Linked DNA regions of Schizosaccharomyces pombe. The main gene of each other region encodes a partner of the protein of the gene in region 2 in a complex. Each region holds a gene or a part of one and is shown on either strand. Other genes may lie near its edges.

What was found.
Region 1: rsm23 (region 2) and rsm19 share a complex: the UniProt entries of both Schizosaccharomyces pombe proteins name them as parts of the mitochondrial small ribosomal subunit.

Annotation. Positions count from the first base shown.
Region 1 is NC_003424.3:384,334-388,115, forward strand, and holds rsm19 (mitochondrial 37S ribosomal protein uS19m), read right to left. Parts: upstream 1,838-3,782; 5' UTR 1,817-1,837; coding exon 1,774-1,816; exon of another isoform or gene 1,711-1,773; coding exon 1,605-1,710; exon of another isoform or gene 1,555-1,604; coding exon 1,422-1,554; 3' UTR 888-1,421; coding exon of another isoform or gene 792-887; 3' UTR 728-791; coding exon of another isoform or gene 653-727; 3' UTR 553-652; downstream 1-552. Other genes in the region: pre-ribosomal protein Loc1, read left to right, coding at 1-16, 147-257, 653-727, 792-887; tif313 (translation initiation factor eIF3m), read left to right, coding at 2,011-2,061, 2,125-2,281, 2,453-3,453. UniProt on the Schizosaccharomyces pombe protein: Component of the mitochondrial ribosome (mitoribosome), a dedicated translation machinery responsible for the synthesis of mitochondrial genome-encoded proteins, including at least some of the essential transmembrane subunits of the mitochondrial respiratory chain.
Region 2 is NC_003423.3:2,065,662-2,069,990, forward strand, and holds rsm23 (mitochondrial 37S ribosomal protein mS29), read right to left. Parts: upstream 2,330-4,329; 5' UTR 2,278-2,329; coding exon 847-2,277; 3' UTR 526-846; downstream 1-525. Other genes in the region: telomerase reverse transcriptase 1 protein Trt1, read right to left, coding at 55-135, 192-449; ribosome biogenesis protein Rrs1, read left to right, coding at 2,732-3,232. UniProt on the Schizosaccharomyces pombe protein: Component of the mitochondrial ribosome (mitoribosome), a dedicated translation machinery responsible for the synthesis of mitochondrial genome-encoded proteins, including at least some of the essential transmembrane subunits of the mitochondrial respiratory chain.

The sequences.
Region 1 (3,782 bases), on a different chromosome or scaffold from region 2:
ATCTAAACCAAAAAATGTATGCTCCTTCTTCCTTCACAATTTACGAACCATGTAAAAGGGGAGTTTCTTTTCTCTTCTTTAAATGTTTCTTTGTTTACTTTTACTGGTAAAATCGAACCCTTTTTTCTAACTTTTTCTTTTTGTAGCAAATTCGCGTGGAGGATTTGGACCTTCCCAAGCTAAACACTTCTAAAAATCCCCAAACTAAGATTCAGAAAAAGGGGAAGAAGAAGGGGAAAATATTTGCTGAAACTAAGGTAATTCATTCTCACATCCATGTTCTTTCATTATAGATGTTGAAAATGCTTCCATTTACTCAACAAGTAATATTCAAAAACATTAAACAACAAAAATCTCAAGTCAGTGTGGTAGATGTTACGATGATAAATATCTCTCTATATAAATCCTACAAATCTTGTTTATAAACTTTCAAGGCCCTGAACCCTATTCTTCCGCATTCGTTCCTCTTTACCACCAGATCCGACAAATAAGGTTTTAAGTGAACTTGCTGCGCTTTTTGAGTCATGTAATCTAATTTTTGATCTGATTTGGTTTGTTTGTTTTTTTACTTTTTGATTTTAATTGATGGGCATTCCTTCATCTATTTATTCATTTTCCACATTCATTGTTCATTAACTAATTGCTGTTACAGGATGACCTTCAAAATATTCTCAATCAAGTTACTTATGAGCTTGACGATAAAATAAAATCTAAACTTCAAGTGGCTGTAAGTATTTCCATGAATTATTTTGATTTCAAGTTTCAGTCAATTTACTAACTATTTACGTTAGCACGAGCGCGAAGCCGTCTTTTCTAAACAATCTGACAGAAAAATCAGCAATAACAAAGCTGATAAAAAGACGGGTCGGAAAAACGAAAAGAAATGAGTTATTCAATTGTTATAACGACACTTCCAAAGATCCTTTTTTTCGTATTGCCTTTCAATTATTAATTTTTCATTTTCTTTTGGGATATCGGGTTCATTCGGTTTTTCGATGCTGTTAATTATTCATTATACAGACTACTAAATAAGTACAACCAATAACATTAAACACATAAGCCATTGCGTTTCAAATTTAAAAATAAAAAATCCAAGTAGGGGAATGCAAAATTCTTTTGTAAAACATTGACAGAAAATTATGCAACATCATATCACTTTTTCATACATACATTTATACGTGCAAGTACATCCATTGGAAGAAGTGCTGTCATTAAAAGCCTGAAAGTAATGAAAAGATTCGGCGAATTATATATTCGCTTTCTTACAGGAAATGTCCTACAAAATACTAATATGGTAGCTCCATTTAAAGTCACGAATTGAAATTTTGAGGCAGACTTGAAATTCTTGGTAGTTATGAATCCATGTGAAAAGTGTTTTGAATAGGCCATATAGCCCAGTTTTCGCCAAGAATCCAAAATAATTACCGATTTTTAGTTTGTCTGTAATGAAATGCTTTTCTGGTAGGTGCAAATTCACCTAATTTATGCCCGATCATATCTTCTGTAATTTTTACATTGGCATATGATTTACCATTATGAACCATAAATTGAGCACTAGAATTTAGTTAGTTAACGTCCACACTTGCTAAATACGAGTATCATACCCAACCATTCTAGGTAAAATAGTTGCAGATCGCACAGCTGTTTTTATAGGAACGTTTCCTTTAATACATTGCTGAACGTTGACACCGAAATCGACCACGTTGGGTCCTATAATGTCAGAATAACAGGTTCTAAATTATTTTCAAAACAAGTATATTTATATTCATTTACCTTTCCAGACTGACCGAGCTCTGGCTACACTAGTCCAAAACATGAGGTGAAATGTTAGAAAGCTAGTTAATTGCTAATGCAGCAATCGTTAATAAATGTGAGGTAGCAACCTGGTGTTGTTACTTCCACTTCGTTTTAACCATTGAACGAGGTGGAGGTGCCAAGTCCTACTCTCCAACTACCACTAACAGCGAATATTTGCATTTCTCGTCTGCTAGATTCGTATTAATAACAGAGATGGAAGGCTCTGATTTTATTTTGGTAGTTGACTCTTCCGTAGAGGAACAGGTATGTCGCTAATGACTCGGCGATTTTTGGTAAAACTTTTTTCAACTAACGAAATTTCAAAAGGTGGAAGAATTGGCTATGTATTTGGATAATCTTGAGGCTAATACCGATAAAAATGTACTTGCTCTTTGCCGAGAATATTTGGCTTCTGAAAATGTTAAAGAAGTTCTTAATCTGTTTCTGACTCGCTTGCCATTGTTGGCACAAGCACCTGAGAAAGGTAATGCAAAATAGTTTTAGGCTAGGAAATTAAAGAATTATTTTAATAAGTGCTAAAGGGCATTTGTTATATTGTTAGTTCTGAAAGTATACTATGAGCTGATGTGTTTGGTTTGCAGCTTTCCAAGTTTTCGCTTATTTTCTCTTCCATGCTATTACTAACACGAAACAGAACTCGAGCCTATTTTAGCCGTCTTTATTAATCTTATCCAAGAATCTGCTGCTTTCGAAGATCATGTTTCTAAATTTTGCCAAGCCTTAGAGCAGATTGCCGATCAAAACAACAATCTCACTCCTGCCATACTCAGTGTCTTAAGCATTTTATTTAATACGGCCGTCAAAGAACGTCAACACGCACGTTTAAGCATTCTTACTAGTGTTGTTACTCTCACTACCCGTTATTCCTTGTTTAGCACTCTTGCACCTAATTTGAAATACTTCCCTGACTGGCTTAAAGAAGCTGGTGTCAGTGTATCGGACCATCGGGCATTTAATATTTTTGTTTCTAAAGCTATTCAATCATACGATGATGAGCAATCATTTGCTTTCCTTTTGGAAGCCGTAAAAATGGACAACTCAACTGCTGACGAGGCGGTTCGCGAATTAGTTCAACGCGCTGTTAACAGCCCTAAGTACTTTTTCTTTGATGATATTGTCACCCTTCCACCCGTTCAGCAGCTTGAACAAAGTACTTTACAGTTACTTGGTATTTTGTCCGGCGGGATGACCGACGATTATGTAAGTTGGGTTGCCGAAAACCATGCTCATTGCCAACACCAAAAATTTGATGAAGATGCAATTGCACGTAAGATGAAACTTTTAACTATTGCTTCATTAGCTACCCAGGCTCCCAATAATACATTATCCTATGGTGATGTAGCCAAGAGTTTGAAGATTGATGAAAATGAAGTAGAATTATGGATCATTGATGTTATTCGTGCTGGACTTGTTGAAGGCCGCATGTCTCAGTTGACTAAAACGTTATCCATTCACCGTAGCAGCTATCGTGTCTTTGGTAAGCACGAATGGGTTGCTTTACACGAAAAATTAGCTAAATGGGGTTCAAGTTTACGTTACATGCTACAAGTAATGGAGCAACCTTTATCTAGCTTTACTATAGCCTCTAGCAAAAAGGGAAATAGAGACGGATCCGCGGTCACAGCCTCTGAATAGTTCATTAGAAAAATAAAATAGGATTCTGATCATTAAGTTTCACCTGTATTAGAGTTACCTTCAATTACGTGGACTTTAGACTAAAGATTTTCTTATAAATTTTAGGTTGCAGTACACTAATAAATAGCAGACCAAAAGCGAAGAAGTTCAAAGCAGCAATCACTTTCTTTGTAATTATGGATGTATCCGTGCAAGACTCTTTTTAACCAAGAGACTTCCCTAATTATTTCTGTCGTCAACTTAAAGAATTTTTTGTACACTAACTAAAAAAGTAACCTACAACTGTTACGTAAAATTGAGATTTTAAAAAAGGAAAGAAGATTGACTCC
Region 2 (4,329 bases):
AATCTCTTTGAAACAGTAATTGCAGGTAAATATTTCACAATTAGAATACCTTACCATGGAAAACCCTTTCATCAGTAGATTCCTTCGACGCTCAAAACTTTCATCGAACATCTGTTTTACAACATTCGCTATTAGCTGCCCATATATTAGCTATCCCGAATAGAAAAAAATCAAAACAAAAATATATATACCTCTGACTGTGAGCATTTTGGAGAAGAAAATTGAACACCTTCATCTGGCTTACTGTCGAAGCCGACTACAGTCGAATGAAGAAAAATAGAAAAGGACGTTTGTACATCGCTTCTCAAGCGTTCGCATATATTGCTATACGAGCTTGCCGGCGACCCTCTCAAAACAAGTTGTACATAATCATTTAAGGTACATAGGTATACATATTGATTCTCTAGAAAGCGAAGAATCCTGCTTTTGGGGGTATGGTGTTCGGTCATGCAAGTTACAAGTAACCATTAAGCATAACTATATATATGCAAAGTGTCCTACTGATCATAACGTTTTAAATAAATAGTGACCGCAAATATTGATTAATATTTATAATTATAGGATTTTTTTTATATAATGATAGCTAATAAATGTTTTGCAAAGTATCTTTAAACTAATAACATTACACGAGTAGAATCACCAATCTTTCTACTACTATCAATTATAAGCGAAACTAATTTAGATTATTCATTAGGGGGAATAGTGAAAAAGGTACGATTCCAGGAGTAAAACGGAAAAAAGCCTAATACGAGATGATACATATTTGGAACAACATGAGAATAGAAAATAGAAAAATAAAACCGCGTTAAAGGAGTTGTAGTGGATAGAAATTTTTGAATATCTCAATCATGCTAGACGTGTGCAAGCATCAAAAAACTTTCGCGGATTACCACCACTAAGGACATGATTTTGCAAATAATTATCAACCTTTTCAAGGCAAACGTTGGATGATACCAAATACTCCATCATGCGACGTGACTCATCTAAAGTGTAAGGCTCCATGTTAAGAATATGCACGGACTGTAATGAATCTAATATAGTCTCATCAGAAGATTTGTAAGGATTTCTGTGAGCTACTCCAAGAGCTATATCCAATGACGGGGTAGAAACACGCGGTTGGCTAGAAGTAGCAGCTAAAACAGTACCACGATTAAAAGTAAGCGAACCCGAAATATATTTGAAAAGTAAATTAATAAAGTAAAAGTCTTTAGGGGGAAGGAAGTTGTTCTTTTTGTCCTTATACTTGGTAACGACCGATAAAATAGAAATATTATCGATCACTAATAACACCTTCATATTGGAATTTGACTTGGTATTGTTATTGAGTTCTTGTAAAAATATTTCCAGAGATTTAGGAGCGTTCGAGGAAGCAATTAGCTTATGAAGAAAGGAAAGTAAATCGGTACCAGCAGGAATGCATTCGTTCTGAAGCAACTCATGACTTTCAAAGGTCTTTAGCTTCTTAAGTTTATCAGAATTAGTTTTCATAACAGAAGTTAGAAATCCCTTAATTAAATCTGGTTGCACCCACAACTTGAGTTGCTCATCATAACCATAACTACTCGTTGAATTTACCCATCCTTCGCAGTTATGGACTGGCAAGACTATAAAATTAGGTTGTGATAAGGCGAAAAGTTCAGCTTGTATGAGAGCAATACTTCTTCCTGAACCTGGAGCACCATCAAGAAGAAAACGTCCGTCCTTCGTACCCTGGTCTTTGGAGCGCTGCAGTACATTCACTAATTCAGTTGTAATTTTCCTGTGCAAAAGGGAAGCACTGGTAAAAAAGGAGAAACTTTTTTTTTGTTTTTCTAAAGCCCCAAATCCATTAAGTTTATTAAGCAATTCCTCGGGGATTTTAAACATCTTACCTTCAGACTTGCTGGACCAAGACATATGCGGATGAATTTCAGAGGGCTTCACCTCTTCTAAAGTATTTTCTCCTTCATTTAAGAGATGATCCAATACAACGCTACTATTGGGAATAGTCGTCGATTTCTCTACTGACGAAGTTGAGGGGGGAATTTCATTAATTCTTGGCGCTTCCGAATTTTTTTGACGCTGCTGGTTAGAGCTTGAATGTATATTTCCTCCAACAGGTCTACCCGTATGCTGGTATTGTGAGGATGAATAGTATTTGTTAAATGTGCATTTTTCAAAAGTGTAGAGTCCTCCCAGTTTACTACCGCAAACAGTCAGTTTTCCACCGGACAGGATATTAGAAATTCTCTCTGTATTCTTAATAATACTACTTCTGCTTCTAAACTTCGGTAGCATTTTGTTAGAGGTATTTTTTTCTCGTAAATCTTAAGTATACATATCTGTTCTCACGTAAATGAAGAGACTGACTGCTTCCGGATGGTAAGTATTTACTGAGCTCTTAGCGCATTGCTAATATTTTTTAATAGGGTAGATTTGGCGTTCAGTAATAAAGAGAACTAACGTATTGCTAATAAGTGTCTCTACTTTTGCAAAAACTAAAGAATCGTAAAAGTTTTCTTACTTTCTTCGTTTGTCATAAAGAAAGTAAAAACAGTAGATTGCTGAACTGAAAGAGAGCTTTTTCTCTTATATATTCAGTAGTTTGATAAAAATTTTGGAGTTTGAAAGAAGAATTTCGTATCCTGAACCAACTTTTTAACAAATCAATTTTGCAGTCTTTTTTGAGAACTTTTTGTCACTTAATTGTATTATCAACCCTTTTTTTTTCCTTGTCCCTATTTCGTTAATCATGTCTGCACAAATAGAAAACTCCATTCCTCTAGATTTCGATTTGGGAAATATGGCTGCATTTGATATTTCTCCCTTAGATGAAACTAAGCTTAGCGGTTCAGAGAAAGAATCATTCCTTTTTTCTCTCAGTAGAGATAACGTTCAACAATTGGTGAACAAAATGATTTCCTTGCCTAAGGAGCGTACATCAGATGGCGTCCTTTTACAGCTTCCTGAAACTGTTACACCTCTTCCTCGTGCTAAACCTTTACCTAAACCCAAGCCCGAAACCAAATGGCAACGGTTTGCTCGTATTAAAGGTATTGCTCCTAAGAAGCGGGAAGGCAGGTTGGTGTTTGATGAAGCATCTGGTGAATGGGTACCAAAATGGGGTTATAAGGGTAAAAATAAGGAATTAGAGACACAATGGCTTGTTGAAGAGGGAGAAAAGGAAAAGAAGCTTACTTCCAAGCAAGTGAGAAATACCTCAAAAAAAATCAAGCGCTCTCGTCGCCATTAATTGGTCCTGCTTAAAAAAAATTTTTCTTAATTTAAAAATTTACTATAATTTAGCTATTCATGGGTTAAGTGGTATAATATCATTTTTATTTTGTTATTATCGTTTGTTTTTGTTTGCTACAACTAAAATCCCTTCTTCAATTGGGATATCAACGGGTACAGAAGGAATATGTAAGACATCGGTTATGTGGCTGCTTTGTTTACACATTTTTATGTGTTAAAAATTAACGAGCACTTTTTTGAAGCTGCTACTCGAAAATCGAACGTTAAAATGTTGAATGTTTACGAGTTAAGTGTAAAGTAAGTTTTAACAGCAACTGTTTTGATACACTGTGGGATTTCCTCCAATTGAATTTTCTAATAACCTCTTGTAAAAAAAGTTTCATACAGTTAAAATGCGACCATATCGTAGTTAATTATTATTTTCTGTATGCAGTCTTAAAAGGCTGGAACATCATATTAAGAGCCCAACTCATGGCTAACTGATATGCAACATTTTTGAAATGTTCAACAAACAGAATTTCATCAGACTCAACAATAACAATCCTTTCTAAATTACTATATAGATTGCAACATCAGTCTAAATATCTGAATGCATTAGTGGTGTAGCGGTAACATTGGAGCTTCCCATGCTCTAGCTCCGGGTTCGACTCCCGGCTGATGCAAATATAGCTGTGAATTTTTAAAAATATAATTGTTTATGTTCTAAAATTGGTTTTTGCATTTTCTATGAATGATATACTCAATCAAAACATATCCTTTTGAGTGGTAAACATAAATTTTTAGTAGATTATATAAATAAATGTGCAAGCCATACTTCAATTTCTAATCATTTTTAAACCGAGTGTATAATAAGTTTTCTAATACTGACTTGTTTATTTAAATATTTAACATAATAATTAATTTTGATATGAGATTGATGCTTTTAGTAGTAATAATAAAAAAAATTTAAAAAATGCAAATAAATAGAAAAAAAATTAAAGAAAAACTCATTAATCCAAAAAAAAGCTTACCAATATTATCATTTGTTTCTCGGTTGGCTACTTCGTCGATTTTATGGTGTATATCATTAATTTTCTAAGTATTGTTTACGTTCGA